3 linked regions of the Diceros bicornis minor genome follow. The protein of the gene in region 3 interacts with the protein of the main gene of each other region in a pairwise test. Links are inferred from orthologs where the notes say so. Each region holds a gene or a part of one and is shown on either strand. Other genes may lie near its edges.

Region 1 (11,078 bases), on a different chromosome or scaffold from region 3:
AAAGTATAAATAACTGGTGTTGGGAGACGATACTCCACAGGTCTCCTGCATTTCTGCATGTCTTGCCAGAGTGGCACTGGTTGTCCTTTGTTATGAACTGTCTTTTCAAGGATGTTTGTAGAGCAAACAGCCTTGGAAGATAAGAGATAGGGTCTCCTTCCACAGTAAACGGAAGGCATCCTTACCGTCCTAACATTATAAAAAATTAGATTCCTTAAACTCAGGGTTCCTTTCCTACAACACAATCCAGTGTATGTGCAGGTGGTAGTTAGCCCTCTTCATGTTACCCTCTGGGAACTGGTGTTAGGGGAACTGGCACAAAACTGATATTCTGGATACTGCTATTGCTGTGAGTAGTAAACTGTCTTTCATCTCTGACCTAGGAGTCTCATATCTCCTACCAGCATCCACAAAACTGTGACATACCCACCTGTTACTTTGCCCTAATTAGGGTAAAATCTCTGATCTTTTACAGTTGTTGATAATTACACTTATATTTATAAACTTTGAAAGTTTTATCCAAGTTGCAAATATGAAAATAAATTTACAACTAAATATAAACAAATGTAATTGTATTTATAATTTTACTATATTCCTTCAGGAAAACAGCAACTTAGATATAAAAACAGTTCAGGAAGAGTGTAAAAAACTTAATAAGTACATCACTAATGTATCCTTAAACACCTTAAATCCTTAAGCATAAACTGTTGATAAACATGTACGTTTACATATTTATAGTCGATTCTCATTATTCATGGTAGTTACGTTCTATAAAGTCACCTTGAACACTACATTAGTAAATACAAAACAACTGCTCCTAGTGGAACTACAAGTTAGGTTCCTGCAAGCCTCTGGTCACAACACTTTTGTCAAGTGATCAATATGTAACCTTGTTTTATGTGTTTCTGTTTAAAGACACCCTATTTAATATACCCATCTTACAAATAATGAACTGCATGGCCTCTGAATGACTTAAAGCCAGGAGCTTTGGAGGCCATCTGTGTTACATAGGTTCCTTTGCCAACGTCCTTTGACATAAGAAATTTTATATATTGAAGTATATGGGGAAGCCATTCTGGTTTAAACTTGATCTGGCCTGAATTTTATTTGAACCAGAGAAGCCCCACTTACAGCCTGTCAAAGGCACATTGCACATCTGTTTTAATTATTACCCTAAGGAATGTACTCTTTGAAGATAATGAATAAATGCCTCCCTTCTTATGATGTCAGTATTCTCTGAAGATGAGTCTCCCTTCCCATGACACCAGAGTCATGTTGATCTGCTGTGTATGTGCTCCTTGAACCCTTGAAGGAATGTGTCCGTCATGCTTGATGTATGTATCTTTGTTTTGAAATGGTATATAACTGTGCCAAAAACCGCTCTTCTCCAGGGCACTTTCTTCACTTTTGAAGGTTGTGACTCCCGGGCTATAATCCTCAGTTTTGTCACGAATAAAGCTCTCGTCTTTACTTTACTATAGAATGATCATTGATTATCTGCACTGACACTTGGTAAAACAAGCCAGTCTTATCAGCATTGAAAACCTACTCTTCAACATAACTCTTTTCCCGAATAACACTTAGCAGGTATTTTTTAAAATTCTTCTGGAAACTTGATCTGCAGAACCTGCCTTGCACACAAATTTAACATTTTTCATGATGTATCTATCACCTTTTGAAATGTGTGAACCAGCCAGCACTAGCTCAGATAGGTTTAACATTTTCCTAACCCTGGGTAACACGACTGTCACTGTCCTTGGCTTTCAGCCTCACAACACTGTCCATTACACTTTATTTCACTGGACATCTCACAGATCCACAAATCTAGCCACTTTTTACCTTTTCCTTGGCTTCATCACATACTATAGATGTTACTTTAGCACTTTCTGGAGCAGCTTCATGTACAAATAGGCATATTTCCTCTTTTCTTTCTAGATATACAGTGTTTCTGATTCATTAACATTGAACTCCCAGCCAACACCACTGCAACTCACACCTGAACGAAGCTCATTTAACACATATTTTTCTCCTTATGGCACATCATGAACTTTTTGCACTTAGAACACTAGATAGCACTTCAGAACTATGCTTGGGGGCCATCACAAACAGCAAAATCACCAACAAAAAGTACAAAAATGAGAAAAACATGGTATTAAGCAGACTGTGAAAAGAACACTTGTTTACAGCATAAGAGCTGAAATGAGAAGGCCCTCGTTCAACGGCAGCTAGGAATGCATGCATCAGGTGACTTAGATTTTTTTGCTGCTCTGTGCACATCCACGAATGACCATGAAAGCACAGTGAGTATTGACTTTGGGGTACAAACAAATTTTAGGGAGTAGACGAATTTGCAAATACGGAATCTGCAAATAATGAAGATTGACTGTATATACCTAATTTTAACCCCACCCATAAATTTAACCACACCCCTTGATTTCACCCTGCCTAACCAGGCTCAGCCCTACCCCGACTCTGTCCACAACCCACCCAGTACCTCTGGTAATAGGTGTCTGAGCGTCCACAGGTGGCACCTGACTTGCGAAAGACCTCACGGCGCTTCCAGCCGGGGCCCAGGGCTGGGCAGTCCAGCCAGTCTTCAGCCATTGGGGCCACGGGAAGCAGCAGCACCCTGCAACGTGGAGGAGGCAATGGGAGAAACCAAGGCTCTAGGAGGGGACCTGTTGTGACCAAGACCACACAAACCACTAGTATCTATTAATGCTTGCCCAAGACCTAGGACCTGCCACAGGCAACTGGCCAATATAAGGAAGAGAAAACCCCCGTTCTTCCCTGTCCTGGGTCCAGGAGGTTGTCACTCCTCCCCCTTCCTGACTTGGTAGCCCCATTCTCAATTCAAGGGTCCTCATTCCTCAGTATCCTGATTCCTCAGTATCCCCTATTCCTCCCCATCCTCAGCCTGAGAGCCCATCGTTTCTCCCCACTGCCAACCTAGGAACCTTTCATCCTTCCCCCTCATTTCTCCCTGTCCTAGGCCCAGGAGACAATCTCTCTGTCTTCTGTCTGTGACCCACTGGTTGCTATTCCTCCCGTCTGTCACCCCGAAACCTCCATACTCGCCATCCTCAGCCTGAGAGGCCTCATTCGTCCCATCCTCAGCTCAAGAGGCCCCCATTCCGCTCGTCCTCAGACTGAGGTCCTAGTACTCTACCTCAGTGTTCTGACCTCCTATTCACTCCCTTCCTTGACCCAGGAGTCCCCAGCTGCTCTCTTTACGTCTTTTAACCCTCCCATTTCTTCCCTATCTGATGTCCTCTTATCCTGCTACCTCAGTGTCACTGCCCCAGTCTCCTCCATGTCCTCTGCCAGAGAGCCCCCAACTCCTCCATATCCTTGACCTGAACAGGCCTTCATTCCTTCTGTTCCTCAGCCTAAAAGCCTCCCCTTCCTTATTTCCCCTCTCTGTCAGTGTTCTGAACCACAACTACTCCCCAGTCTCAGCCCCCAAACCTCCCTATTCCTCTCCTCTGCAGCTGAAAAGTTCCCTCACTCCTTCCCTTCAGCGTTCTCCTCCTCCCTTCCTCTCCTCTGCCTGAGAGACCCTGGCTTCTCCCTCAGCATTCCGAAGCCTCCATTCTTCTCTGTTCCTGCGTCAGGATCATGCCATCCCTAACTGTCAGCGTTCTCACTCCCTATTTCTCCTCGTCTTCCATATGGGTCCCTCCTTCCTCCCTTTCAGCATCGCAACGCCCCCTTTTCTCCCCTTCACTGACCTGAGGGCCCCTCAATTCTCCCCCTCAGCGTCCCGAACCCTCACTTGTCTCTCCTTAACCTGAAAGGCCCCGATGTCTCCCCTCAGCGTTCGAATCCTCCTCCATTGCTCTCCGTCCTCGTCTAGGATCCCGACACTACCAACTGTCAGTGTTCCGAGCGCCATTCCTCCCCGCCCTCCGCCTAAATCTCCCCATTCCTCCCCTTCAATATTCCGACGCCGCCATTCCTCCCACTCATGGGCCTGAGGGCCCTTCATTCCTCTCCGTCAGCGTTCTGAGCCTCAATTCTTCCCCATCCTCCACCTCAGCGCTCTCCACTTCCACCCCCACGACTGTCTCACCAGTTCGGCACCGGGCCGGTAGCTCCCGCCGCTCTAGGTCCGCGGACCCATGACAACGGTCCCGCCTGTGACTCCCGCCTTGCCCTGCTCCTCTTCCTCCTCCGCAGCCTCTTCCTCAAGCGGTAGCTGTCGCCGCCGCGGCCGTTCGTTGCTCCCGGAACCGGAAATACACTGCCCGCTTCTTGGGCTCCGCCCCCGGCGGGACGCCTGCGCGCTAATACCGTGCCGGCACCAGCCCTTACTAGGGAGGACCCTGCGCCTGCGTGCTGAGTCCCGCAGCGGCGCGCGTCCCTTGCCGGGGACCTGCTGCGCTTGCTCGCTGACGTCCGACTACTGCTCGCGCCCCTAGCGGAGACCTGTAGCGCCTGCGCTCTTCGCTTCGCCAACCGGCGCGTTCTTCCCACCCCGCCCTCCTCGTTTGCGCCTGCGCTCTCCAGTCCCAACCTAAGGGGGCGTGGAGGGTTGGGGTTGGTCGAGCGCGCCTGGTTACTCCTTGGCGGTCTCCGCAAGGAGTAACCGGGAGGGAGGGGCGGCGAAGCCCGGGGTTGTGCGGAGCCGCCTTCTCCCACCTCACGCCTAGGTCGAGCCTGTGCTCTCCGGTCCCTCCGAACATCTCCCCCAGGCCTATTGTGCCCTGCGCTCTCCTCCTCGCTGAACAGTTGCAGGAGCGCGGAGACAAGTCACGCCGCGCGCCGGCGCCCGCTCCTGCCGCAGGAACCGGGAAGGGGGCGATGCCGCGCTGCAGGTAAACAGAAGGCCAGGTCCATCCGGGAAAGGCCGCGCTGTGGGGCCGAGTGGACCCGACAACAAGAGAGGGCGGGGTGGGGTTCCCGGCACAAACTCGGTGGGCTCCTGCTGTATGCATCTCCAAAAAGAGGGGTTTGTGGAGAAAGAGGAGGCTTTGTGTCCATCATTGAATACACCTCTGGTCTGGAGAATATTAACGCTCACACAGGAGTGGCAAATCGGCTAGACATTGAATGAATGCTGACTGTATACCCACTGTCTCAAAATGAGACGCTGAGAATGTAGGTCACTGGGCTCTCCCTCAGCAGGTCATATCCCCACAGCCCACAGGGGGCGGGGGGGTCTGCAGAGCAGAGTGGGTGCCAGCTGTACACTGCAGCCCCTCCTGAGTACAGGTATGCCACGCCCCATCTACCCCAGAGATTTTGTAACTGAATAAAGTGTGGAGACCATCAGTAGTTATCTTTCTTGATTCTTCAAAATTTTATTAACAAAACCAAGAGAGGGGGAAGGCAAAGGTGAGCAGACTCCACAGTCCCACCCAGGCACAAAGAATGGAGAGACAGAGAACAGACAAAAACAGGAGAAAATTCTGAGACCCTCTGTTAAGGGCAGAGGGGCAAATGGTGGACAGGCACAGGGAGAAACTCAGGGATGACTGGAGAAACAGAAGAATGGCAGAACAGTCAAATGGGGGATTCAGGGCAGCTCCCCCGCCTGGAATGCAGGGTGTGAGGACCTCTGGGCCAGTAGGGCTCAGCGGTCGGCACTGGAGCGCAAGTCTGTAGTGAGCGGGTCATGCTGGATCGTTTGGTGCAGCATCAGGGCCAGCAGTCCTGCCCGGTTTGTCATGGCTGTGCGTACATTGCGCTCCTGCTCAAACAGCTCGTCCAGCTTGTACCACTGCCAGGGGAGCAGAAGGCGACATGAGAAGGGGCTCCAGAAGCCCAGCTGGACCCTGGCCACATCCAGCATCAAAACCTACCACACGCACGCGCTCCAGGTCCACTTCAGCACGCCGCAACTTTTCCCAACAGTAATGGCGGTTGCACTGGCGCTTGGGCAGGCGGCAGAAGTCACCTGTGAGCTCAAAGACATCACGTACAAGGGGGCACCCACATACCTCGTCGGCTGGCACCTGCAAGGAGACCAGGGGATGGGGATGAATGTGGGGTGGTCAGGCAGGAAGGAGAACAGGATTGGGAGTAGTCAGGGAGGAAGGAGGGAAGGAATGAGTTCAGGGGAGAGTGGAAAGGAATGGAAAGGGAGAGGACTAGAGGATGAAGGGGCAGGGAAAACAGGAGAACTAGAAGGTGATGACACAGGAAGATGAGGAGGAATGAGGGTGATGAGGCAGGGAAAGTGGGGGTTATGGAAGTGGGCGGGTAGAAAAAAGCAAGAAAGGAGGAGAGGAAGGAAGGGCTAAATAAGGGGCAATAGGAAGGGAGGAGGGACAGAATGGGGAAGCTGGGGGGAAACCTTACTTTGGGGTCCCGTGAGTGCTCAGGGCATAGCACCTGGAGCCGCTTACAGTATGTCTTGCTCTGAGGATTGTAGACATCACAGAAGAGTCGTGTGGCCCTGGCGGTTTAGAGTTGAGAGAGGGTAATGGAAACAGAGGAGGGGGGCCCACCTATCCTTGCCCATGCCCATATCCTGCCCCACCATTCCACTCCTGAACCCAGCCTTAACCTCCCTCCTCTAATTCCACGTGGCGCCCACACTCACCCCTCAATGCGTGTGGGGTACATGGACCCAAAGGACGTCTGGCTCTCATACTGGAGGGATGAGCACAAGTGGAGGGAACTGTGGATGTGTGCTGCATGCCCTCCCAAGACAAGACCCAGAAGACACATCTGACCGCCCATGGGCCCACTGAGGGTCCCCTACCCCTCAGGCTAACACCTGACCTTGGCATAGCAGCGCTCCATGTGGCGCAAGGCAACACGTGGGTTGATGGGATGCCCACAGGAGACGCAAAAGATCTGCAGGTCCGTGTCATCACTGTCACCCTCATTGCTCTGCATGGGGTAGAAGGAACAATGAGGATGGGCAGGACCAGGTGCTGGGCCCTGCACTGCTGTGCCTGTGCTTGCTTACCTCCTCGTCCTCGCGCACAGCCTGCTGCTTGGCACGCAGAATGATGGCCTCAAGCTCATGGAATCGGCGCTCCATTTCCTGAAGGCGGGTTCGGGCACTCTGCTGCTCACGGCGAATACGTTCAAGCAGCTTCTTGCCGTGCTCCTCAGCAATGCAGGGGCTCTGCTGCCACTGCTGGATGCGCTGGGGGAGGATCTCGTAGATGCGGCTGCAGGGAGGCAGTGGGTTGGGTGTGGGCAGGTGGCAAACAACAAGATGAGTAAGTGGGATAACCCAAGGATGGCAGAATGGATAGGTGACTAAATGGTGAAAGGATAAGTAGATAGCTGACTGAGTGGTAGATGGATGAGCTGAATGGTGGATGGAAGGGTGAACAGATAGATGGATGAGTGAGTGAATGGATAAGTGGGTGCCTAGTTGACTAAATGGGACAGGTGACTGGCAGACATACAGAAGGCTCTGGTCATGCCCTACCCCGTACTCCCTGTGTCCCTTGAACCCCCCAGGAATGACTCACTTGGCTGCCAGCTTCATGCCACAGTCGTCTGAACAATACTTGGAGCCAGGCTGGGCAGGGCGCACACAGCCAGGCCCCAGGCACTGCGGTAGCGATGCAGGGTCCTTGGCATCAGCACGCTCCGGGTGTTTCCATTTGTCCTTGTGCTTCTGCTTTTGCCGATGCCGCTTGTATCTCTCCTCTTTCTATGGGACAAGGCAGTTCAGGTCAGGGTGGAGTTGAAGTCTGCCCCAGACCCATCTCCCCCTGCATTCCACCCCTTCCTGGCTCTTGCCCCATGCGGCCCCTAGCCTTTGCCTCTCCCTCCCCACCCTACCCTCTGCCTTCCCACACCCATTTCACCCTCTCCATCACCTTCTTCTCAGACTTCTTCTCCCGACGCTTCACATGCTTCACTTTCACTGCCCTCTTCCGCAGTGCGGGATCCAGGAATGGGGACTCCTCTGTGTCGCTCATCCAGGGCTGCAGGTGAGGCAGACACTGGCCCATCTGTACCACCCATGACTACCCCACCAACTATTTAGTTCCCAAATCAGCCTTCCACATCCTCTGCCTTCTCTCTTCTCATTATGGATACTCTCTACTTCTGTAACCTCTACCCTTCCACCACGGGACCCTGCCTGCTCACCAGGCCATGGTCATCAAAGGCCCCTGCACAGAAGTCCTGGTATAGGTCAGGGTCCAGTGGTAGGTCTTCATCTGAGAGTGGCTCAGGCGTGGCCGTAGCCTCAGGTGGCTCCTTGACTGCTGCTGATGCCACTGCCCCCTCATCCTCACGGATGCGCCCTGGTTTCTGTGATGGCTGTGGCTGCTGCTGTGTGGGCAGTGGCCGACGAGGCCTTGGCAGGGACTCTGAGGGTGTCACTGGCGAGAGCTGCAGGGCAGAATCTCAGGACTGGCCCTGACTGCCCTGCCCACATGCCCTGCCCCGCTCTGGGAGGCTGGACTCACCGAAGAAGGGAAGTACTTGTACGATTCCTGTGCCGGCAGGAGGAAGGCCCAGGTCAGCCCCAGGTAGATGGAGGGTGGCCCTGCCCTAGCCCCTCCCACAAGTGCTTGGCCCCACCAACTAGCCCTGCCTTGCTTCCCCAGACACACCTGCCCCTTCTCCCCTCATCACCAGGACATGCTCAGCCCTGCCCTCCCTGCCCTGACATGTCTGATCACCTAGAAACATCTGGCCCTATCTTGCCCACCTGGGTTTGGGGGGCTCCCCTGCTGGCCCAGCACACCTGGTCAGGCCCCATTCATCTGGACAGGCCAGGCTCCTTCCCACCTGTCTGTATGCAATTAGGCCCCACCCCACCCGGCCCACCCATTTTAGCTCTTCCTGGACACACTGGCCCCCTCCACCCCACCTGACCCTGCCCAACTCCACCCAGGCTCACCCGGGCCCGTAGCTGGCACTGACGCAGCCGGCACTTCTGCCGGATCTTGTTGGGGCCCCCAAATTTCTTCATGTCCCGGCAGAAGTCGCAGTGGCCACAGTCCTCAGTGCGCCGGCAGGCCTCGCACTCACCACACATGCGGGCTGACCGTTTGATTTGCTGTTGCTGCTGGTGATGCTGGGGGGAGGGACCCAGAACAGAAATCAGGAACTCAAGTAGGACCTGAGGTGGGATCACCTTATCTATCCCAGCCACTGCAGCCACTCACCTGGCTGGGTGTGGCCACCAAGGGCTGTGGAGATGATTTGTGGGGCGAAGCAGAGCCCCGAGCAAGCATGGCCCCAACCCCTGTCCCTGACCCCGCCCGGCGCTGCAGGTCCGGATCCGGGGCAGGCCTCTTGCGCCCTCCACCCTCATCCCGGGGCTCACTGCCGTCTCGCTCATTGCTGTCCCGCTCGCGTGACTTCTTGTGCCGATAGCGGATCTCCAGCTTGGGGTCTTTCTCTATGGAGCAGAGCGGGGAGCCGGGGGGTGACATTGGAGGATTTCGATGGTCCCAGAACTCTTCTTCCTCTTCTCTCCTTTTCTGTCCCACCCACCTGCTCTGTCCCCCTAGTCCAGGGCAGAACTGCCCCCTCTGGTGGGACCCTCCATTATGGCTCACAATGGAGCCTTCACTTTAGCTCACAACAGACCAACACTCACTCTGCCCAAGAACATATATCACTACTCCCCACGACCCACCCTCCCATTATGGCTCCTCCTTCTCCCTGGAAGTCCCACTTGCCTGCCCTGTCCTTTCCACCCCCCTCACCTCGGCACTCCCGACAGTACCACTCGCGGATGGCCTTGGCCATCTTCTCAGTGATCCGGATGCAGTCCCCATGGAACCACTCATTGCAGTTGTCACACCCGCTGCAGAGGATGGGGCGAGTGGTGGAGATATGAGGGGCCGGACCTATGGCCTTGCCCAACCTTGACAGGTGTCAGCCCCGCCCACCTCTCCCCGGCTCACATCATGAAGCAGTTGATGTCCGGTTTGCGGCAGATGCAGTAGATGGGCGCATTCTCCCCATTCTCCGACTTGCTGTCCTCCCCAGCATCTGGAGGCTCTGGGTCTGAACCATCCCCCTCCTGTGGGAAGTCCCCCATTATGGCTCCTTAGAGAACGCCCATCATAGTGTCTCATTCCTCCATTACAGCTCCGCCATGGCGCACCACAGACCCCAACACTCTGCCAACAGACCTCCTATCATAGCTCCTCACAAACCTCTCCATCACGGTCTCCACAGACCTCCCCCACCACTCACCCCTGACACCCCGTTACTCTGCTAATAAACGCCATCACTCTGCCCCAGATCTCCCATTACTTAGCCGGCTAACACCCCATCACTCTATCCACACACTCATAAGGGCTCATTACACTCTACCACTCACCACATATTGCCCCCAAAATGGCTCCTCACAGACCCCACCACAGGTTGTCAGACACCAACGTGATTTACTCACTTCCCAACACAGCTCTCCACAGATCTCCCGTTATTAACCCCACTGACAACCCTGCCCCCATCCCGGTTCCCTACGGATCCCCTAATACACTCATCATGGCTCACTACTGAGTGCCCAATACGGCTCGTCGCAAACCCCTTATCACTTTGCCTAAAGAAGCCCCATCTGGGGCCCCCCGGAACTACAATCAGGGATCCCCACTAAACTTCCATTCCGGATCCCCACATGGCTCATCACAGAACTCCCAGACTCCCACAAAACTCACACAGCAGAAAAAAAATCAGGCCATCAGTCCCCCATCATACTACCCACAGACCCCTGCTGAGGCTCACCACAGGCCGCACCATTCTGCCCACAGACTCCTGTTACGGTTCCCCACAGACCCCCGTGAGTCTGCCGACGGACCCCACCATTACCAACCCGACTGACCTCTACTGCCGACCCCCTCCCCGGACCCGTACTCACCATCTCTCAGCTCCCGGGGCACCGCCTCGCGACCCCCGCCAGCGACCCGCGAACCCACACAGACTACTGGGCAGCGTCCGCAGCCGTTGCAAAGGCGCCCACAGCTACTTCCGCCTCTGGTCGCGCCTCCCGGGCACCGTACTCCTATTGCGCAGGCCCGGTGCGTCGGCTTCAACGACAAACAAGTAGGTCCCCCTCCTAGAGCCCCGCCTGTCCCTCAGGCGCCGCCATCTTGACTACTGATACTGTATGGCATCCGAGTCCATACATTCGCAGGAAA
Region 2 (10,564 bases), on a different chromosome or scaffold from region 3:
TTTTAGGCTTTATGTATTTTTTTGGTAAAGGAAGAAGGGAACAGGTAGAGTAGATTAGCAAGAGAACAAAGTCTTATTTTCACACCTCTATAAATATAACCCCTCAAGATTTTCTTTCTTTACTCTTTAAAATGGCTACCACCCTGATTAACTGTGCAAAAGGAAAAATGTACAGCATACTACTATTAAAGATAAATCTGGTTATTTTGACAGTGCATGCCCTTCTTTCCTACAAAATGCTTTTTAAGATTACCATTCCCTTAGTGTTCAGATAAAATGACCATTAAATACACAAAAGTTGGTCAATTACAGTATGAGGGCAACCTATGTAACCCAGATTAGGTCATCTTTCCTATCATGTCTGACTAGGAGAGGCAGGTAACAGTATCTTTCACAGACTAAGATCAACACAGGAGAACTGAAAAGGACTGTCCAGTCTAGTAAAGGAGAAACAAATACGGTAACCACAACCCCCACCAAGAGATGATCATAGACTTTTAGTAATTCAAAAGAATAGATTAACTATATGACTTAGCAAAAGTTAAGTTTCTGTTCGTAATTAATCTTACTAAAAAGCATTTTATAAATAACAAAAATCACTTGGTGCCCCCAAACCTGTTCTTAATGCTCACTACTCTGTCAAATATTATTTACATATTACTTATACCATTTCCTATCCACTCTGAAACCATTCAATAACACTCTTGCTCTAGAAAACTTACCATGAAAACGCACTTTCACATACAAAAATGAATATATGCTTTACACTAATTTTGTGCATATATATACATAGGTACTAAATAGATTTACTTTGAATCTGTTGAATGTCTGCAGAAACATAGCATGATCTTACCTCTCATCCTCGCCATCCACCAGGGGTGTCGTCAGCGGTAGCACCTTCAACGGGAAAAGAGAAGCAGAGGCTGCTAGGCTGCTGCTACTCCCATCTGAAACTGCTGACATTCCCCCACTTTCACCACTGATAGTCTGAGGTAAGCCAACTAAGGAGGGTTCCGCTGGGCGCCTGGCATCTTCAATTTGGCTTCCAATTGCCTGAGCTAATGATTGTGCAGAGAACTGAGTAGAACTTAGTGGTATCTGTTGTGCCAAAGGCAAATTTATATTAGATGCTATCAAGGGAGGTTGACTAACACTTTGAACCAAACTACCATTTTGAGTGGCAGGGGTTTGTGCTATATTCTGTGATGGAACCAAGTTTGTTGGGGCAGAAGGCATTCCAGAAGGACCAGTTGAACTAACCTGATTTGTAACAGAAATACTGCTAGCAGAGGGCAAAGGACTAACTGCAGGCAACTGCTGAGGAACAACTCCTTGAGCTACTGATTCTACTCCTTGTGGCTGGGGAGTCACAGTTAACAAGGTACTCTGGGGTGCAATGACCAACTGTTGAGGAAGGCTTGAAGCACTAGTTGGAACTCCCTGATGAATACTCGCAGTTTGAGCAGGTGGAACTATTTGTTTAGATGGAGGAGCACCTTGCTGAATAACTGAAGGTGTGACTTGGGTACAGGGTTGCTGCACTGCAGTAGGTATGTTTGCCTGTTGACCAATATTTGCAATTTGACTGCCAGTAGGTACAGCAGATACTGCTGTTTGAGCCTGGCCAACAGGCTGGCCAGATGCCCCTGCAGGTTGTGCTTGGACTGCGGCGGGCTGCACTGGCAGCTGGATACTCTGTGGCTGAGCCATAGGAATTACCGTTGTTCCTGCTCCCACTCCTGCAGAACTGGGCTGCCCGGAGGACACTGCTGTTTGAAGAATCGGCTGCTGCTGTACATACTCTGAAGTAGGATTCTGAGTCACTGATTTACCATGGCCTGAGGCCATCTGTGGAGAAACAGTCAGCTGCTGTTGTCCATACTGTAACTGTTGGGGTGGTGCCCCTGGAAGGGGAGCTTGCAGTGGAGGAGTTGTCTGAGAATATGGCAGTTGGGGTTGAGCCAAACTGGAAATGGAAGGCTGCTGACCTAAAGCTGAAGTTACACCAACCACATTAACAGATGATGGCTGGATACCAGTTGCAGCACTGATAGTGGCTTGCAGAGGTACTGGTTGAAGACCTTGCTTTTGCTGATAGCTCAATTCTTGAGACGGTAATTGTACTTGTGCCATCTGGGACTGAGAAATACTCTGTGGTATACTAACTGCTGGAATACTCTGTGGACCAGTGCTACTGAAATCCATCTGTTGAAGGGCCACACCTTGAAGAGCTGGTTGCTGCTGCTGCTGCTGCTGCTGCACCACAGTAGGGGCTCCCATCTCTCCACTTCCCACACTCTCTGTGTAGTGACTCAGTGTGCTGACACTACTGCTCACTGAACTCCCACTAGTGCTCTCCCTCTCAGAAGTCACTTCTATTGGGTTCTGTTTTACAGTTTCCACCACTTTATTTATCACACCTTCTGTAGCAGGTAAAGCATTTTCTTTTTCATAGAACTCAGTGCAAGTCCATCTACCTTTTTTAAAGGGTTCAGAACTAGAATCTAACTTCACAACTCTGAACCTTGACGTGTTAACGGTTGGTTGTTGCTGCTGACTTGAAACTGATCCCACAGTCATCCCTGCAGCTGCATTAGGGACACTGTTAATAACAGCAGAGGAAGAAACAGTACCATTGCCCATGCCACTCAAGATATTCACATTAACACCGCTGCTAACTCCAGGCCCAACACTCACACTAGCAGCACTAGGAATATTGCTTGCATTTATGTTAGCATTACCAAGCATGCTGCTTGTCACATTAGGATTAAAAGTACCCACAGCACTAATGTTTACATTATTCATCGTATTAGTGCCAGTAACAGAATTTATACCTATACTGCCGGTAGTACTCAGAGCTCGGATATTAGTCATTACAGATGCAGGTGAGCCACCCGATGATACAGCAGAAGTTGGGGCACCTGGTATAACACTGTCAGAGCTTCCAGTTGTAGAGAGTTTTCTGGATACTGGGCTTGAGGGTGGCCCTCCAGGAACGGATGTACTGGCCACACCAGTATGCGATGGATGGTGGTGCCCATGGTGGAGGTGGTGCCCATGATGAATGTGATGGTGGTGATGGAGGTGGTGTGGATGAGCATTCCCATTGATCACAACATTCTGTTGTGGAAGGTGAGGCAAATGAGGCTGAGGAAGGTGGGGCTGGTTGGGAGAGACTGCCCCAGGTGTCTCAGCTTCCTGGAAGTTATTTAGAGTCTCTTCTGAGGAGCTGCGTTCAGGCTCCCCTAAGTCAGTAGCCCTGGAAAGTGACACATCAAGGATCTCGGAAGAAGACAGATCTTCCGTGTGCGATTCATCCAGATCATCATAGCTCTCAGTGTCCTCTGCTATACTGTTGTTAGAGCTGATGCTGGCGGAGATCTGAGCTGGGGTAACGCTAGTTATCTGGAAGCCACTTTTCTTTTTCATTTGAGTTCCGCCTGGCGCAAGAGGCTGTGCCTGCAGCTGAGCCTGCGAAAGGAGGTTCAGGCTTTGTGGAGGCGGAGGCTGTGGTCCCGACGTAGAAGATGCTGCAAGAGGTGGCGGCTGGAGCAGCGATGGAGGCGGAAAATCCTCGGAAGATGTGGCACTACTACCAACGCCGGTACCTGCTGCACTGAGAGCAGAGGCGCTGCCACTACCGCTGCCCCTTCTAGGGAACATTGCCGGGTGCGCCATCTTCCTAGCACTAATGTCTGCAGCGGCCGCGGCGGCGGTGGACTCAGGCGGCTGGTGCATTGTGTCGGGTACCGGGGGGCGGAGGAGGCGAGTGCAATTTCCTTCTGCACCGTAATCTTTGTATTCAAGACGCCTAGGAGGAAAATGGGACTTGACGCTCGGCCCGGCGCGATTCCTCCTCCTCCTCCTCCTCCTCAGCCGAAGGCGCTGGTCGCTGCTGCCTTCGAGGGCGAGCTTCGGGAAGGGAGGATGAACGAGGGTGAACAGGGCGGCCGGGGACCCGAAGGGGGGACCCCTTCAGTCCTTCGCCATTCACTTTCCCCTCTAGTCTCACACCCCCCTTTATATTCCGCTTCACGTGGGGTGCGGGGCAGGAGGGAGGGGGGAGAGAAGGGAAGGGGGAGACCCGGGCAGGGGGTGGGAAAACTGAGAAATGCCCACCTTCTCCAGACAACTCAGAAGCCACCTCAACCACTTCTCCCGGCGCGGCGGCGGCCGCTGCAAAACCCTCCCGGCCGCTCTGCACGAAGGCAGCGCGGAGCGAGTGTCGCCTTCCCCTCGCCACCCCCCGGCGCCGCCGCCGCCAGCGAGCCCCGAGCTCAGTGTCGCTCAAACCTCCCCTCCCGGCCCCGCTGTCCCCGCTCGGCCCTCCCCCCACGCCCCGCGGACCCTTTCAAACCCCCTGGGCTCGCGGCGGCTGCTCCGAGAGGAAACGCTGGCCGCGGCTGGGGCCGGGGCGGCGAGGCTCGGAGCGGGGCGGCGGCGGGGCGCCCGGTACGGTGAACCCAGCAACGAGGCGCGGGCGGGCGCGCAGAGACGCCGGGTCCTCGCGGAGCACGGCCGGGGCGCGGCGGCGACGGTGGCAGCGGGAGCCCAGGGACCGCTCCATCACTGGCAGCCATGGAGCCTGAGCATTTTCCTCCCTCAGGGCAGGCGCCTCGGCTCGGCACACGTCCTCGGGGAGGAAGGGGCCGGCGCCCAAGCCTCCGCGGAGGGCGGCGGGACGTGCGCTAGCGCGGAGGGGTGCGAGCCGCTCTGGTCCTCTTCCTCCGCAGCCGGCTCGTCCTCACCCCGCTGCTCCCGCGGCCCGGGCGGGAGGGGGCCGCAGGCGGCGGCGGCTCCTTTCTCGGCGGCGTTGGTGGCCAGACGGGCTGGTGCAACGCCTGCAGCCGACGCCGTTCAAAGGAACGAGAGGTGGGGTTGGTCGGTGTCGGCAAACGGGGCGGGTGAGTGGGTGGGTGCCGAGGGAGGGCGGCGGGCGGGGAGGGGGCTGTGGTGGTTGTTACTAGTGCTCTTCTCCGGCGCCGCCGTATCCCCCAGTCTCTCGCGGCCGCGAGAGAGGAGGGACCAGCGCCCGAGCGCAGGAGGAGGAGGGGCGACCGCCGGCGAGAGGAGGCGGAGGCGGTGGCGGGGGGAGGGGCAAGCAAAGGAGAAGGAAGGAAGATGGCGTCTGCGCATGCGCCCCAGCGCCGCAGACATAAAGCCGGGTCTGGCGGAGAAGGAGGCGGCGGGTCTTCGGGACTTGCCGAGCGCTGGGTCTCCTAACGGAAATTGCCGAGGGCTGGCGGAGGCGCCGACGCCTGGGGTGGTGGGGATGGGGAATTTCGGCCGGGGGAGCGAATCCGGGTCGGCCTGTGCGAGTCGGCCCGAGTGGGGGTGGGGGAGGGTGCGGGGCGCGCGCGCAGGCTAGGTGTGTCCGCTCTTTTCTCACACGCGCCGGCGCGCGCGGGCACGCGGCCGGGAGGGGCCCGGGGAGGCTGCTGGAGCCCCGGGTCTCGGGTGTACGCGCCCTGGATGGTGTCCACCCCGCCTGTGGAATTGGTAATAAGGCTTTTCTCCGCAGCAACAGCATCACGAGTTTCAGTTCCCAGGAGCCCGCCGCCGCCGCCACCGCCACCGCCACGACATGAGTCAGGCTTTCTTCCTCGGCGCGTGGCGGAGTCCTCCCCCTCGCCGCACCTGGGCTCGCCCTCAGCCCGCGACGCCCTCGCCGCTTCCGAGGATGCCCCAGCGCAGGGAGCTGCGGGGTCCGCGGAAGGCCGGTGGTCTTCAGGATAGGTGCTGCCTTTTGTGCGAAGGAGTAGTGGCTGCCATGCGGTCCCCTCGCCCTTCGACGGGCAGGGGCGAGCCAACCGTGTAGATGTTGCAGCTTTTTCAGTTAACCACCCGAGCTTCTCTTCTCTTTAGAGAGGGAGTGCTTGCCTTCCATCCTTACCTGGAGGGAAGAAGCAGCCCAACCCAGTAAACAAACTGACCTCAACAGGTGGTGCTTCTCTCCAGCAGGGATGGCTTTTCGTCTGATTGTCCAGGCTGTAGCCCCGCAGGTTTGACTTAAAAGGCGAAGTGGCCTAGTCGGGGTGGCAGCACGACTGCAAGGATAAATGAAGACTATCTCTTAGGGTTAGAAAGGAAAAAGAGCCATCTGCAATTCCAGTTAAAAAATAAACAACAAAAAAGAAAACCTGCGTGGGTCTGAGCATAGTTCCACGGAAGCAATGTTAGGCTTGATTGGAGACAATTTACTGGAAGTGGCTTCCCTGGCGTTACTCGTCAAAACATTCTAGCTCTAAGTTCTTTTTACTACTAAGCGAGAATGTACCTCTCGCCCAGGAATTAAAAAATAGCAACAAATATGGAAAACCCCAGAGAGAAGTTTTTATTTTTTTAACTTAGGATGTTGGGGGACTAAACGTTTATGGTTAGACCTCTGATTCAGGATCTCACAGACTTACGGATCTACAATCCTATTTCAGGAGCTTGTTAAAGCATAAACGGCTGTAGTCTTTTGCACAGCTGTCTAAGTTTTGGTAGACATCTAGTTGTCAATTCAACATGTTACCTTTAGGTTTCTCTAAACTTTTTCCCTCATTCCATCCCTCAAAAAGTTAAGAATATCACCAATCTCTTACATTATTAATAGAAATACACCCTCAACATTATTGAATAGAAATACATCCTCAATATATCAAAGCTATGATGTATTGTTGCTGCTTCTGTGGTCTCCTCCAATAAACCCAAAAAAAGCAGGACGGCCTTTTTTTGCTTTGAATTGCTAATGAGGAGCTCTGTGCTAGGTAAAAAGTAGGTGCTCACAAATATTGAAAGTGGTATGGTAATAAAAATCAAGTACATTTAAAAGATTGTACTTGTTTTATGATATTCATTAATTAGTACATGAATGATTGTATTTTACATAGCTATGGCCATTTGTGTATTTAACAAAAATAATTTCTTTCATAGTACTCCAATTTTTGTTGCAAGTGATATGCCTGGTTAATGGCTGCCATTCATTGTTGAAATGCAAATCTAACATGCTTTTTCAACAGGTTTTGAATGGAAAACAGAAACTGTCCTAACCAGTGGAAACTGCAGTGGAATGTAGATGGGCAAAATACATTTCTTTGGACTGCAGTGTGAAAGAAAACACTCTTGATCTCTCAAAATGTTGCCTTAGGTCAAAGTTTTAAATTACCCCAAACAACAGCTCAACACCCCTTGGGCCACTTAAATACCCCCTATAATTGTGCTGATGTAACTAGAAGCAGAAGAAACACAAATAATAAAGTCTTACCCAAAGTTGACAGAGTGAGTTGTTGAGATGACCCTATAAAAGCAGATACTTGTTGTAATAACCAATAGTAAAGGGTATTGTTGTTTTTGGCTGTTTTGATGTTAGGGATTGGGTATATAATTTCTTTTTAAAGGAAGTTTTTAAAAAAAACTTTATCAGGATAACATAAGACACAAGAAAATATGATCTTTTCAAATGTATTTCATCTTTGTCTGCCATATCACTTTCAAATTCCTGTTTAGGCTGCATCAAGTCTCACTAAGATATAAGAGCAACTCTGCAATCATGGAAACCTGAGTTTGAAAAATGTGTCTCTCTCTTTTTTTCTAGTTGCCAGCAATTCTGTGACCAGGAATACGTGAATACAAGTACATTAAAACAAGCAGAGGCACTTGGAACAGCCAGGTGTTGTTATCATGTTACCACCTTTTAATAAAAAAAGTCTGGATTTTTTTACATTAATTTTAAATACATACTCCTACATGTAATGAAGTCATTAAATCCTTTGAGACTAGTACTTCGAATTATCCTTTTGAAAGACTGAATTTCACCTGTTTACATTCTGAAGGTGTAGCTCTGAATTACTGTCCATTGACAAAAGATTACTCTGTAGTGCAGTGTTCACTTAAATCTGGTTATTGCACCATTGCAAACCAGCATGTATGTTTGGCTGTGTTTAGTGTTTTTTCTACCATAAAAGAGAAAATTTGCTGAACATTATAACACAATTTACCTATTTGTGAGAACTGTGAAATAGAATGGCTGTGAGTGGCAAAGATGGATGTTAAAGAGAAATGTGTGCAGAAAACATGCCACTGTTCCACTCCAGTAATTATTCTGGCTAACCAGTGCTTCAGTCAGCCAATATTATCTGTAACCCTTACATGTCATCTGAAAAAAAAAAAGTCATATTTTTAAGCATGAGTTATAAACTTGTAAAACATCAGACATTTTTACATATGAAGAAACTTATGCACAGAGGCGTTGCAGCAAGTTTATAAATCAATTTGCTCTCTAGAAAATTGTTTAAATGAAACGAAAAGTAGTATGTGCCATTTGACTTTTGTAAGTAGCACAAAAAGCTTATTTTGAAACTTTTCATTCAGATTTCAGTGAGAATAGTTTAGCTTATAACTGATTAATTTTTGCAGCATTTGTTAAATTTTCAATATAAGTATTTTTCTCGCCAGCTAAACAATTTTATATCCTCAAAGGAGATAAGCTTATAAAACAAAAAAAATACAGAAATTTGAATTTATGGTTTAGAGGGCATACTGATACTCATTTAATTTTACTTTGAGGGAGGAGGCCTTATTTTAGGAGTAAGAGATCACAGAGATGTTAAATAACTTGTCCAAGGTTTATGCCTAAATATGGATACTCAGGTCCTCTTAATTTCAGATTCCATGCTTCTGTGTTGAGGGATTTTTCTGAAAAACCAGTCTGAACTCTGGAGACTAGTATTTTTCAAAACTCTCTTGGAAATTAATGAGTGTTCCTTTAATGCTTTTAAATGTCAAGGAAGATGTGCTGCACACACGCTAATTGCATACAGCATTTCTTTTACATGAAGAGGATAAAAGACTTTTTCCCTGTTTGAACCAATGTAAATGTTACAGCTTCTTCTACAGTCAGTCTTTTCTGACTTATGAATGTGTTAATTTGGAGAATTTTCCCACAACTTAAAAAAAAATCATTTCTAACTTCTGCTACAGAAGTGTGAAGTAACAGTGAAAAAAAATAATTTGTTAATTTAGATTTTTTTTTTAAGTCTATAATCAAATAACCCTCCAAATCTCCCTGGATGATAGCTAATGTTTATTTAATGTCTACCCTATATGACACATTGTTCTAAATGCTCTCAGTGTTTTATCTCACTTACTCCTCCCAACTGTATAAAGTAGGAACTATAATTACCCCATTTTACAAATGAGGAAAGTGAGATGCAGAGAGGTTGAGGTCTTCCAACTTGGCAAGTGGTGGGGCTAAGATACTGATCCCTGCGGTGTAACCACCCATTCACAGCTGCCTCCAAGACATAGTGTTCAGTCAGGCTCCTGTCAAGTCTAGCTCCCAAGTTACATTTCTACAGAATACTCATGTTTTAATTTTTCTAATTAGACATCTCCAAAGAATCTAGGAGCATCATTTTCTCTTGATGCAGAGACATTCTAAGAAAGAGTGTACATTTTAGAGACTCTACTGTGGCCACAGGAATTGGACATAAATGAACAGAACAACAATTTGATAAGTTGAATGATCCTTCACTGATCAAAAACAGATGTCAAATGCTCGAAAAAAGGCATTAATCACACATAATTGAGGAACACTGTCTATATAGGACAAGATAAATGTTTTCCCATTTTAGCAATTAGCATTTATTGAACACGAGAGCCTCTAGAATAGAGACTATAATAACCTAGTTTTTCCAGCATGTTCTAAGGACCAATTTGTATTTGTACATTTTTTTAGAGACTTAAAGTTACAGAAATAAACGCATTTATCATATTTGTTTGTATCATAATTCTAATAAGGCCTATGTCCTTCCACCATACCTGAACCAAAACCAGGTCAAGAAGTACAAACAAATCATAGCAGCCAGTATTTCTTTGTATTTAAAGATTAGGTTCACAAACACTTAGGTATATCTCAAGTCTCAAAGCTCAAGGGAAAAGGAAAGGCTGTTGAAATCATTCTGTAGTGTGGAATTTTCCTTTAATCATTCATTATCTCCCTCTGCTCAGACTTATCTTTTAGGAGAAGAAAATTGATAAAGTAATTTTTAGTAACTTATACTTAAATTGACATTTACAGTTGCATTGTAGAAGAAAAACAGGAAATCATTAGTCTTAAAGGCCAAAATCTTCTCAGATTTTAATACCTTTAAAAAAAGAAGAAAAGAAAATCTTAGAGACATGCAAGCTAAATTGGAGTCAGGAGCACAAGATAAAATCCTGTTAATATTGTTACCACAGAACATTAAAGACCACGGTACTGTTTACATGTGGAAGGTGTTTACAAAACCTTTCTATATGGATGGTAAAATTAGAATGATTAAAGAGGAAATGTTGGAATTTCAGAGAAAAGCCTGAGATGGAATTGAGGAGGAAAAGCCCAACAAAATTCATTTGTTTTGTTACATACAATATATACACACTTGTCAAGCTCAAGAAAATTAAATCTATAGCTGACTTAGCCTCTTCAGGGGTTAAATATAAAGCTAATTGCAAAGATGCCCACAAAGCTTTCCATCAAAAACTGGAGGAGAAAGTCCAGGTATTTTTTGCCCCAGTTATTAATAGACAGACATGGTAT
Region 3 (10,268 bases):
AAGGCAAGAAAAATAAATAAAAGACATCCAGGTTAGAAAGTAAGAAGTAAAATTGACTTTATTTGCAGGCAACATGATCTAATACATAGAAAATCCTAAGGGATCCACAAAAGGCTCCTAGAATAAATGAGCTTAATAAGGTCACAGGCTACAAGATCAAAACACAAAAATCAACTACATTTTTTATATCCTAGCAACAAACTCCTAAAGTGAAATTAAGAGGGCCAGCCCAGTGGTGTAGCAGTTAAGTTTTCGGGCTCTACTTCAGTGGCCCGGGGTTTGCAGGTTCGGATCCCAGGCGTGGACCGACGCACCGCTTGTTAAGCCATGCTGTGGCAGCGTGCCATATAAAGTAGAGGAAGATGGGCACAGATGTAAGCCCAGGGCCAATCTTCCTCAGTAAAAAGAGGAGGATTGACAACGGATGTTAGCTCAGGGCTAATCTTCCTCACCAAAAAAAAAAAAAAGAAAATAATCCCATTCACATTAGCATTAAAAAGAATAAAATACTTAGGAGAGATGTACCATGTCCACGCATTAGAAGACTCAGTATTTGTTAAAAAGGTAATACTCCTCAAATAGATCTTTAGATTCAATACAGTTAACTATTAAAAATCCTAGCAGGTTAAAAAAAATTTTTTTTGTTAGAAACTGACAAGCTGTTCCTAAAATTTATTTGGCATGTATATGAAATACAAATAAATTTGAGGGACTTTCACTAAATGATTTTTAATACTTACCATAAAGCTACAGTAATTAAGACAGTGTGGTGCCATTACAAAGATAGACTTTTAGATCAATGCGACAGAATAGAATCCAGAAATAGACCCTCAAATATATGGCTAGTTGATTATCTAAAAAGGTAGTCTTTTCAACAAATGGTGGTGGAAGAACTGGACAGCCATAAACAAAGCACCCTCAACCCTTACCTCAAGAATTTTTACTCTTCAAAAGACACCATTAAGAAAATGAAAAGACATCTAGGAGAAAATGTTTATAAAATATATCTGATAAATGAATTATACCTAAAGTATAATAAGTCTTCCAAGTCAATAATAAAAAGACAAAAAAACCCCCAATTTTTTAAAAAAGGCAAAAGATTTGAATAGATATTTCCTCAAAGAACATACATAAACGGCAAATAAGTATGTGAAAAGATGCTCAATGTCCTTAGGGAAATGTAAACTACAATCACAGTGTGATACCACTAAACAGCTAATAGAACAGTTAAAATAAAAGACTGACAATGCCAAGCATTGACAAGGACGTAGAGAAACTGGAATCCCCATACTTTGGCAGTGGGAATGTAAAATGGTATAGCCACTTTGGAAAAGGGTTTGGCAGTTTCTTTTCTTTTTAGATTATTTTATTGAGGTCATAATGGTTTACAACATTGTGAAATTTCAGGTGTACATTACTATTTATCAGTTTCTGTATAGACTGCATTGTGCTCACCACCAACAGTCTAATTTTTATGCGTAACCATATATATGTGCCCGTCTACCCCTTTCGCCCACCCCCCAACCCCCTTCCCCTCTGGTAACCACTAATCTGCTCTCTTTGTCCATGTGTTTATCTTCCATAGATGAGTGAAATCAGTATGGCAGTTTCTTAAAAACTCAAACATACACTTACCATAAGACCTAGCAATTCCACTCCTAGGTGGAATATACAACAGACATGAAACATAACATCCACATAAAGACTTATACACAAATGTTCATAGCAGTATTATTCACAGTAGCCCCAAAGTGGAAATAACCCAAATGTTTATCAATTGAGGAACAGATAAAAACACGTGTTATAGCCATACAATGGAATATTATTCAGCAAAAAAGGAATACCCTGCTGATACATGCAACAAAATGGATGAACCTCAAAAACACTGTGTTAAGCGACAGAAGTCAGATACAAAAGACAACATATTGTGATTCTATTTATGTGAAATTTCTAGAAAAGGCAAAACTTTAGAGAAAGAAATCATATCAGTGGTTGCTAGGGGTGACAATGGAGACTGATGGCAAACAGGCACAAGAGAACTTTTTGGGGTGAGGTAAGTGTACTAAAACTGGACCGTGGTGAAGACTGTACTACTGTATAAATTCTACAAAACTCTACACTTAAAGTGGGTGAATTTTACAGTATGTAAATTATACCTTAAACAAATTGTTAAAAAATAGACAAAACCAAACAATATACTGTTTTGAGATACACATACATAGGTGCTACTGCCACCTATAAAGAAAAGCAAAGGATTTCAGAATAGAGGTTATATAGAATGGGGAAAGGAGGGTAATTCCATCAGGAAGTAGCACTTAGGGGACATCTATGATACTAACAACGTTCTATTTTTTTCTGTGACAAGTCCAACAGTTTGGGATATGGAGTTAGTAACAATGGTTTCTCCTCTCTTCTATCTTCTATCTGCTCATCTTCCAGTGTTTCAATTTCAATCCTGAGATTTTCCTATCCACAGCCTCATCTCTCACCTGAATCAATACTGAGGACATCATCATCTTCATCAGGAATCTCAATTATTTCTGTAGGCCGGGAAGCTTCATCCTCAGAGCTACTGTCCCGGTATTGTAGTCCCAGTTTTGAGTAAAAGTCCTTCACCAAAGACTCACAATTAGTCACTGCCCTAATAGTGGAACACATGTAGAAAAGGTCAAAGCCAGCAAAAGCAGGTGTAGGAGCCATTAGAATTTATACACATTTAACTACACAGTGACCTCAATTTAAACAGGCCATATTCCAAAGTGTCTGTTTAGAATTTAAAATGTTTTTCCCATAGAAAAATATTTAAATAGTGGTTTCCAGACTAGTTCCTCAAAAATCCAAAATAAGCCCAAAGTAGGTCCTTTCAATCTTACCTCATTATTTACCTTGTCGTTATTTGAAAATGTGTTCTAAGTGACAACTAGGGCACCAGAAACAAATCTTCTAGGGGTTTAGGAGTACATATAGGTCTCTAGGAACTTATTAATGCTCCACAGTTACCTAAGACAGCAACTCTTTACAGTCCCCCTTGATTCTACAAAGAAAACAAAGCAATTGTTCTGAAGTAGAGTGCAGGAGGAAGAAGGGGAAGGGACTCAAGACCTGGACTCCTCTACTGCTGATCATATATTAGCCTCTGATAGATGAATATTCTATATTCATGAGGTCAGATTTTGGACCCTACCCTTTGACGAAGAGTAAGGTTCTACACATCCATACTTTGTAAAGTATAAAGTGTTTGGCACACCATGAACAATTATACTTTAAAAACGTCTGCCACTGGAGAGAATTCCTTCTATTTCCTATGTAGCCCTCACCTGGATGCATCATCAAAGAGCTGGTCAACGTGTGCAACCTCAGATTCTTTCTGTATTACCCATGTCTCCAACTCTGCTAGTTGCTTCTTGCGCTGCTGTACACAGTCCATCTTTTCCAGTTCTTCATCAATGAACTGCCGAAGTTCCTCCATAGAAATACCTAGCTCCTCAACCACTGCTTTCTGCAGCTCTGCAATCTCTTCAGACCCCACTGCAGCTGTTGCTGCATTCAAACCAATGCACCCGGGGAGGGAGGTCATACTGTTTGTCCTCTACATGGAACAGAAAACTAAAATTACCTTTGGAGTCATTATAACCATAATTTCAGTCCCCTAATAAAACTCATTCCTACTCTGCTACTTGTTATTCAAATATAGTTAGGTTTGATTCTATGTTCTCTCTCCCCATTCTCCAGTATCTGATGCTGAGATTTTGTAGAGTTCTCATCTCATGCTATAGACTATATGCCTGAATAAGATTTAAAAGTTTGAGAGTACATGGAGAACATATATTATGCAACAGGGAGCTACTGAAAATAAAAGGAAACTGAAGAGAATCAATTTACTGAGGAAGATATTTCTGTGATCTGTGTTCCTTAACTGACTAATAAGATAAATCTTTGCATGCTATACCTAATTTGAACAAATATCCCCAACCTGAAGGGGAGAGGTTGGTCTATAACTCACTAATTCGTTTTCTGTTTAATTACTTGTTCCCCTTACACTACTTTGCTTCCATGTGGAAATTTACTTTTTAAAAAGTCTCTAATACTTAAGCACACAAAAGCTTGCAGCAAAGAGGTGTCCTCAAAGTTAACGGAAATTAAACAATCTGGAAATAAAATGCGGCTACCTAAAATCTACAATCTAAATAACCCACATGTTGGTGTTAACTGCTTTTTTGCTCAAATGGTTAAAGCAAAACCGATGCCAGAACGCCGTGCGACCCCAGCGCCAGTTCTCACCGCCTCCATTTTTCCTTTGCCCACACACTGCCCCACCCCCGTGCTACCCATTTTAGGGGTGCGTCCCACCCACCCGCAAATCCAGCTCGACCCCGCCCCCGCTCGCCTCTCGGGGAAGACCTCCTTCCCACCCTCGCCCGACCTCCTCCCACAAACAAAACATTCCAGACAAGCCCTTGTTCTCCAAATACCTCAATTAACAGTATTTTCCACACCTCCCTGCTTCCAGCTACAACAGTTCTTTTTCACCAACCAGACCCCAGACTCACGACTCAGGGGTCGGCCTGGATGGGAAAGAACGAAACTGAAGGGAAAAGGAGCAGAGGGAGGGGGAAAAGCGTGAGGGAGGGAAGGGGAAGCAAAAGAGACGCCCGGAAGCAAACCTCAGGTGCTCTTCCGGTCGCCACGACGGTAGCCTGACGGGGTCAAACCCAATGCCGCCGGGTGCCCCTCAGAGGCTAGGCAAACTTCGGCGAGTGCGCATGCGTCCAAGCAGAGCTTTCCAGGGCACACGTGAGAAGCAACTGGCAGGGTAAAGTAGGCGTGGCCTGCAGTACATTACAGAAGCTCTGCCTCTTCCGCTACCCCTAACCAGTGGCAGAAATACTGTTTGTGTAAAGATTCAGTGGGCAAACACTCTTAGGTTTAGATTTTTTTTCTCACTTTTACTTGAGTTTGTTACATAAGTCGTACAAATTGTAACAAGTGGAAGAATATTAAGATGTAATAAGAAAAACATGATAATATCCTCTCCTCTCTGCACCACTTACCATCCCTGCTCCTTTGAGGTAAAACAGCTCAGTTTTCTAGGCTTGTAGGTACAAGGTCATGCATATGGATTTTTGTTTTGTTTTCGTTTAACATGTGGACATCCCTTGAAGTCAATAAAAAGGAAAAAAATTGTCTTTTTGACAGTTGCATACTACTTCATAGTATGGCTAAACCATATTTAGAAATTTAGATTGTTTTCAGTTTTTAGCCACTACAAATGATGCAACAATAAACATTAACATCGTTTTGAAGTAGTACTTTTATTTCTGTAGAAGAGATTCCCCAAAATGAAATCTGAGTAGGAAAAAAAGTACTTTTTTCATTTTAATAGAATCTGCTGTCAAATTACTTTTCAAAAAGGTTGAAACAATTTTTGCTTCCACTAGCAAGTCTCTGCAAGTATCTGTTTCCCCACACCCCCATTAGGATTGGACGTTAACTATTTAATTTTTAAGAATTTGGTATGTGTTAAAATAGTATCTGTATCAGGATAGACTAGGTTATGTTGTGGAAACAAACAACTCCAAGAACTTAAAACAAAAAACGCATACTTCTTGCTCACACTGCATAATCATCCCTAGAAAGTTGACAGTGGAGCTCTGCTCATGATAGCTACTCAGGAACCCAGGTTGATGAGTAAGTCATGCTAGAGGGAGAGAATGCTAGAAGGTCTTGAGTTGGCAATTAAATGACTCAGGACACTTTCATTTACGATTCATTGGCCTGAATGAGTCATAAAGTCCTACCCAACCACAAGGGGGCTGGGAAGAACAGTCATGTCTCATCTCTGGGAGGAAGAAGAACTAGGTGTATTTGATGAACCAGCACTATTGACTACCATAGTATCTCATTATTGCTTTAATTTGTTCAGCTACATTTACACTAATTGCACCTAACTACATCTAAAAAGTATAAACTGGAACCTTCTATGTAAGACTAGAAACAAGGCCCGAGCAGCAAGGATTATCCAAGTCCTTGAAATCTGCTCCTGTTGACCACACTTTTACCTGTGCTCATTTCACCTGTCCACCAGTTTCCTGGGACCACCCTAAGTACCTAAGTCCAATTGTTAAGACATCAGGAATTGAGGTACAGAGAAATGAAGGGCTCCTCTAGATATTTGAAATTCGGCATGTTCCAAACTCATCTCATCGTGGTATTATCTTCTAGCCTGAGCTAGAAGTCTTATACGTAATACTCCCTATAAAACACACACAATATTTATTGAGTGTTTACTACATACCAGGCACTGTTCTAAGCACTTTATGTTATTAATTTATTTACTCCTCATGATAATCCTATGAGGTAGGAACTATTATTAGTTTCTCTTTCTTATGGATGAGAAAACTGAGGCACAGAATTAAATTTTCCAAAGCCACACAGAGCTAAAAAGTGTCAGAGCCAGGCAGTTTGGCCCTACAGCTTGTGGTCTTAAACCGTTATTCAGTACAACATGTTTATACTAGTTTGAAAATGTTTATTACATATTTTCCCTCCTTTCTTTTTCTGTTCTACTGCCTTTGTTTAGCTCTTATTTCTTGCCAGCACAAAATAGCCTCCTGATTGGGAGCCTTATTGTAAATCAATCCTATCTGTAGGTCTAAAATACAGTTCTGGTCATGTCACTCTCCTGCTTTAAAACTGTGTTTTCTTTATGTCTATAAAGTTCAAACTTCATGGTATAAAATTTGAGGCTCTTCATAATTTGGCCCCAGCTTACCTCTCTGGCTATATTTTCCATTCCTCCTTTCACACTCCTGATTATGTGCTATTTCCCCAACATATTTATACATTTCACTTTTACATCTCCATACCTGTGTTCATTGTGATCTATCTCCTGGAATGCCCTTTCCCTTTCTGTCTGATGAAATATTAATTCTCTAAGGTCCAACTCAAATGTCTTCTCTGTGAAGTTTTTGTGGACCAGCGATTGTCAAACTTTAGCATGTATCAGAATCACCTGGGGGGATTATTAAACAGATTGCTGCCCCCACACCACCCCTGGAGTAGGTCTGGGGGAAGTCTGAGAATTTGCATGTCTAACATTTTCCCAAGTGATGCCCATGCTACTGGTACTGGGACCACAGCTTAAGAATCACTGTCCTACACCCTCCCTCACTCCCTGTGGAATTAAATCCTGCCTCTATGCTTCTATTACCTTCGTTCCTTTCCACTTGTGAGGTATCTCTGTATATCTCTGTCTCCTCTGCTTGTTTGTGATCAACTCAAGGCTGAGGTCCTGTCTTAATCATCTTTGTTTCCCCTAGCACCTAACATATTGCTCTGTACATGTGGTGCTCTATAATATGTGATGAAGGAAGGGAAAGATTTGCTCTGCCCTGGTTATGTTTCTGTTAGTTGGATTCTCAGCTTTCTGATGTGTGTGAGGGTAGGGTGGGGGTGGAAATGAGGAATGGGGAATGTTGAAGAGAACAGGGGCTATTTGGGGCATCATATTCCAGTCTGATTTCTTCATTGTCCTGAGAAGGCTGAAGCGGTCAGTCCAACAGAAATTAGCAGTGGGACTCAGGAAGTGTCTTTTAAGGTCTTGCTACGCAACGTGCAATCAGGGAACTTGTTAGAGATTCTAAATCTCTGGCCCCACTCAGGATGTACTGAATCAGAATCTGAATTTTGGGCCGGCCCTGTGGCTTGGCAGTTAAGTGCGCGCGCTCCACTGCTGGCGGCCCGGGCCCGGATCCCGGGCACGCACCGATGCACCGCTTCTCCGGCCGTGCTGGGGCCTCGTCCCACATACAGCAACTAGAAGGATGTGCAGCTATGACATACAACTATCTACTGGGGCTTTGGGGGGAAAAAAATAAAGAAAATACAGTTTAAAAAAAAAAAGCATCTGAATTTTAATAAGACCTTCAGGTAATTTGCTCACTAAAATTTCAGAAGCACTGTAGGAAAGGCAGATTTGAGCTGTATAACCCTTCTTAGGGCAGGGCCTCAATATTTAGGGAGCCAACCTCTGGCTTTGTTTTTGCTAAGGTCTGAAGACTAACTCTTGTCAGAGATGACCAGGCCCTGATATAAACGACTCACGTTATTAAAATTTACAATTATTGTGGTAGACAGTTTATCGAAGTTTAATAATATAAAGTAATAGATAACCAATAGACCCATTGGAATCCTCATGTTGGTGTGCTTAGCACATTCATTCCTGTAATCTGTTGTGATACATTGAAAAATTACAACCACATGCTACTTAATACTTGTCTATAAGAAATCATAGCACAGGAGCCAAAATTTTGGAGTGCCAAATGATACTTCCCATACAGTCAGACTTAAGGGAAATTAAATCATAACCTAAAGGTTGTTGAGTGATCTCAGAATCTAAAGAAGATTAAAGAGATTAAAACTCAAAGAGTTTCAGGCATCAGGAAAGTAATGTAAATGAGCAAAATGGGGTGGGTCACCTAGGAAATACATGTCTTTCCTATAGAGAGCAGTTGCTACTTAGCTCCAGTTAATTTTTATCCTGTCTAATAGATACAATGTTGCCAAATTTCCAATTTTTCAAATGAAGTTAAAAATCCATATTTTTTTATATGAAAGCTTCTGAGTTTTGAATGTTGACAACTAATTCAAAAATTTTGTAAATTCTGCAATACTCTTTAAATCAGCAATTCAACTTCTAGGAATTAAACTACCTACTTCTGAAATTGCATACCTTTAAGTATACATATCTTTGAAATGATGTAAGACTGCTAAATTATCTTCTGCAACATTGTTTGAAAGAACAAAATATTTATTTATTTTTTTTTTTTTTTTACAATTTTTATTTTATTTTATTTTTTTTGTGAGAAAGATCAGCCCTGAGCTAACATCTATTGCCAATCCTCCTCCTTTTTTTCCCCAAAGCCCCAGCAGATAGTTGTATGTCATAGTTGCACATCCTTCTAGTTGCTATATGTGGGACACCGTCTCAGCATGGCTGGAGAAGCGGTGCATCGGTGTGCGCCCGGGACCGAACCGGGCCACCAGTAGCAGAGCACGCGCACTTAACCACTAAGCCACAGGGCCAGCCCCCAAAATATTTAGAAACAATGTAAATTTCTATCAGCAGGGGTTGGTTAAACAAATTATGGCACACCCACAAAATGGAATACTCTTCAGCTGTGTTTTAAAAAAAGGCCAACAACAAATAACATGTGTTGGCGAGGATGTGGAGAAAGGGAAACCCTCATGCGCCGTTGGTGGGATTGTAAATTGGTGCAGCCACTATGGAAAACAGTATGAAAGTTCCTCAAAAAATTAAAAATTGAACTACCATATGATCCAGCAATTCCACTTCTGGGTATTTATCAGAAGAAAACAAAAACACTAATTTGAAAAGATATATGAACTCCTATGTTCACTGCAGCATTACTTACAGTAGCCAAGATTACTTACATTACTTACAGTAGCCAAGATATAGAAGCAACCTAAGCGTCCATTGACAGATGAATGGATAAAAAAGATGTAGTACATATAACGTAATATTACTCAGCCACAAAAAAGAATGAAATCTTGCCATTTGCAATTGCATGGATGGACCTAGAGGGTATTATGTTAAGTGAAATAAGTCAGACAAAGACAAATACCATATGATTTCATTTATATGTGGAATCTAAAAAACAAAACAAATGAACAAACAAAACTGAAACAAGCTCACAGATACAAAGAACAAACTGGTGGTCACCAAAGGGAAGGAGGGTGGGAGATGGGCAAAATAGGTGAGAGGATTAAGAGGTACAACCTTCCAGATATAAAATAAATGTCATGGGGATGTCATGTACAGCATAGGGAATACAGTCAGTAATATTGTAATAACTTTGTATGGCAACAGATGGTTACTAGACGTATTGTAGTGATCACTTTGTAATGTATATAAATGTCAAATCACTATGTTGTACACCTGAAAATAATATAATATTGTATGTCAACTATATTCCATTAAAAAAAGTAAAAAATAAAATGCTATGTTCTAAAAAAAGAAGGCTAACGAAGCTCTTTGTGCATTGATATGGAGTGATCTTTAAGATATATTATTAAATGAGAAAAGTAGGTACAGAACATGGCATATAGCATGCTATTATTTGTGTAAATAATGGCAAAAATATACAGTTTTTCTTACATATACATAAAATATCACTGGAAGGATCTATAGGAAATTAACACCGGTTATCTCTGAGGAGGGCAAATAGAAGGATGGGGGACAAGAGTGG

What was found.
Region 1: the proteins of SETDB1 (region 3) and MBD1 interact in binary tests that used the Homo sapiens proteins (3 or more experiments, as listed by UniProt). The link is inferred for Diceros bicornis minor from reciprocal best matches to the Homo sapiens genes SETDB1 and MBD1.
Region 2: the proteins of SETDB1 (region 3) and TSC22D1 interact in a two-hybrid assay, tested with the Homo sapiens proteins (2 studies listed by BioGRID and IntAct). The link is inferred for Diceros bicornis minor from reciprocal best matches to the Homo sapiens genes SETDB1 and TSC22D1.

Annotation. Positions count from the first base shown.
Region 1 is NC_080755.1:42,770,234-42,781,311, forward strand, and holds the start of MBD1 (methyl-CpG-binding domain protein 1), read right to left. Parts: upstream 4,239-11,078; 5' UTR 4,073-4,238; intron 2,630-4,072; 5' UTR 2,605-2,629; coding exon 2,495-2,604; intron 1-2,494. Other genes in the region: CXXC1 (CXXC-type zinc finger protein 1), read right to left, coding at 5,576-5,722, 5,805-5,957, 6,304-6,400, 6,548-6,597, 6,730-6,840, 6,920-7,127, 7,437-7,621, 7,791-7,898 and 7 more. UniProt on the Homo sapiens protein: Transcriptional repressor that binds CpG islands in promoters where the DNA is methylated at position 5 of cytosine within CpG dinucleotides. Binding is abolished by the presence of 7-mG that is produced by DNA damage by methylmethanesulfonate (MMS).
Region 2 is NC_080748.1:32,052,260-32,062,823, reverse strand, and holds the start of TSC22D1 (TSC22 domain family protein 1), read right to left. Parts: upstream 4,679-10,564; 5' UTR 4,581-4,678; coding exon 4,348-4,580; intron 4,297-4,347; exon of another isoform or gene 4,120-4,296; intron 3,913-4,119; exon of another isoform or gene 3,812-3,912; coding exon 854-3,811; intron 1-853. UniProt on the Homo sapiens protein: Transcriptional repressor. Acts on the C-type natriuretic peptide (CNP) promoter. Acts to promote CASP3-mediated apoptosis.
Region 3 is NC_080743.1:55,270,294-55,280,561, reverse strand, and holds the start of SETDB1 (histone-lysine N-methyltransferase SETDB1), read right to left. Parts: upstream 4,637-10,268; 5' UTR 4,473-4,636; intron 3,590-4,472; 5' UTR 3,578-3,589; coding exon 3,318-3,577; intron 2,642-3,317; coding exon 2,490-2,641; intron 1-2,489. UniProt on the Homo sapiens protein: Histone methyltransferase that specifically trimethylates 'Lys-9' of histone H3. H3 'Lys-9' trimethylation represents a specific tag for epigenetic transcriptional repression by recruiting HP1 (CBX1, CBX3 and/or CBX5) proteins to methylated histones.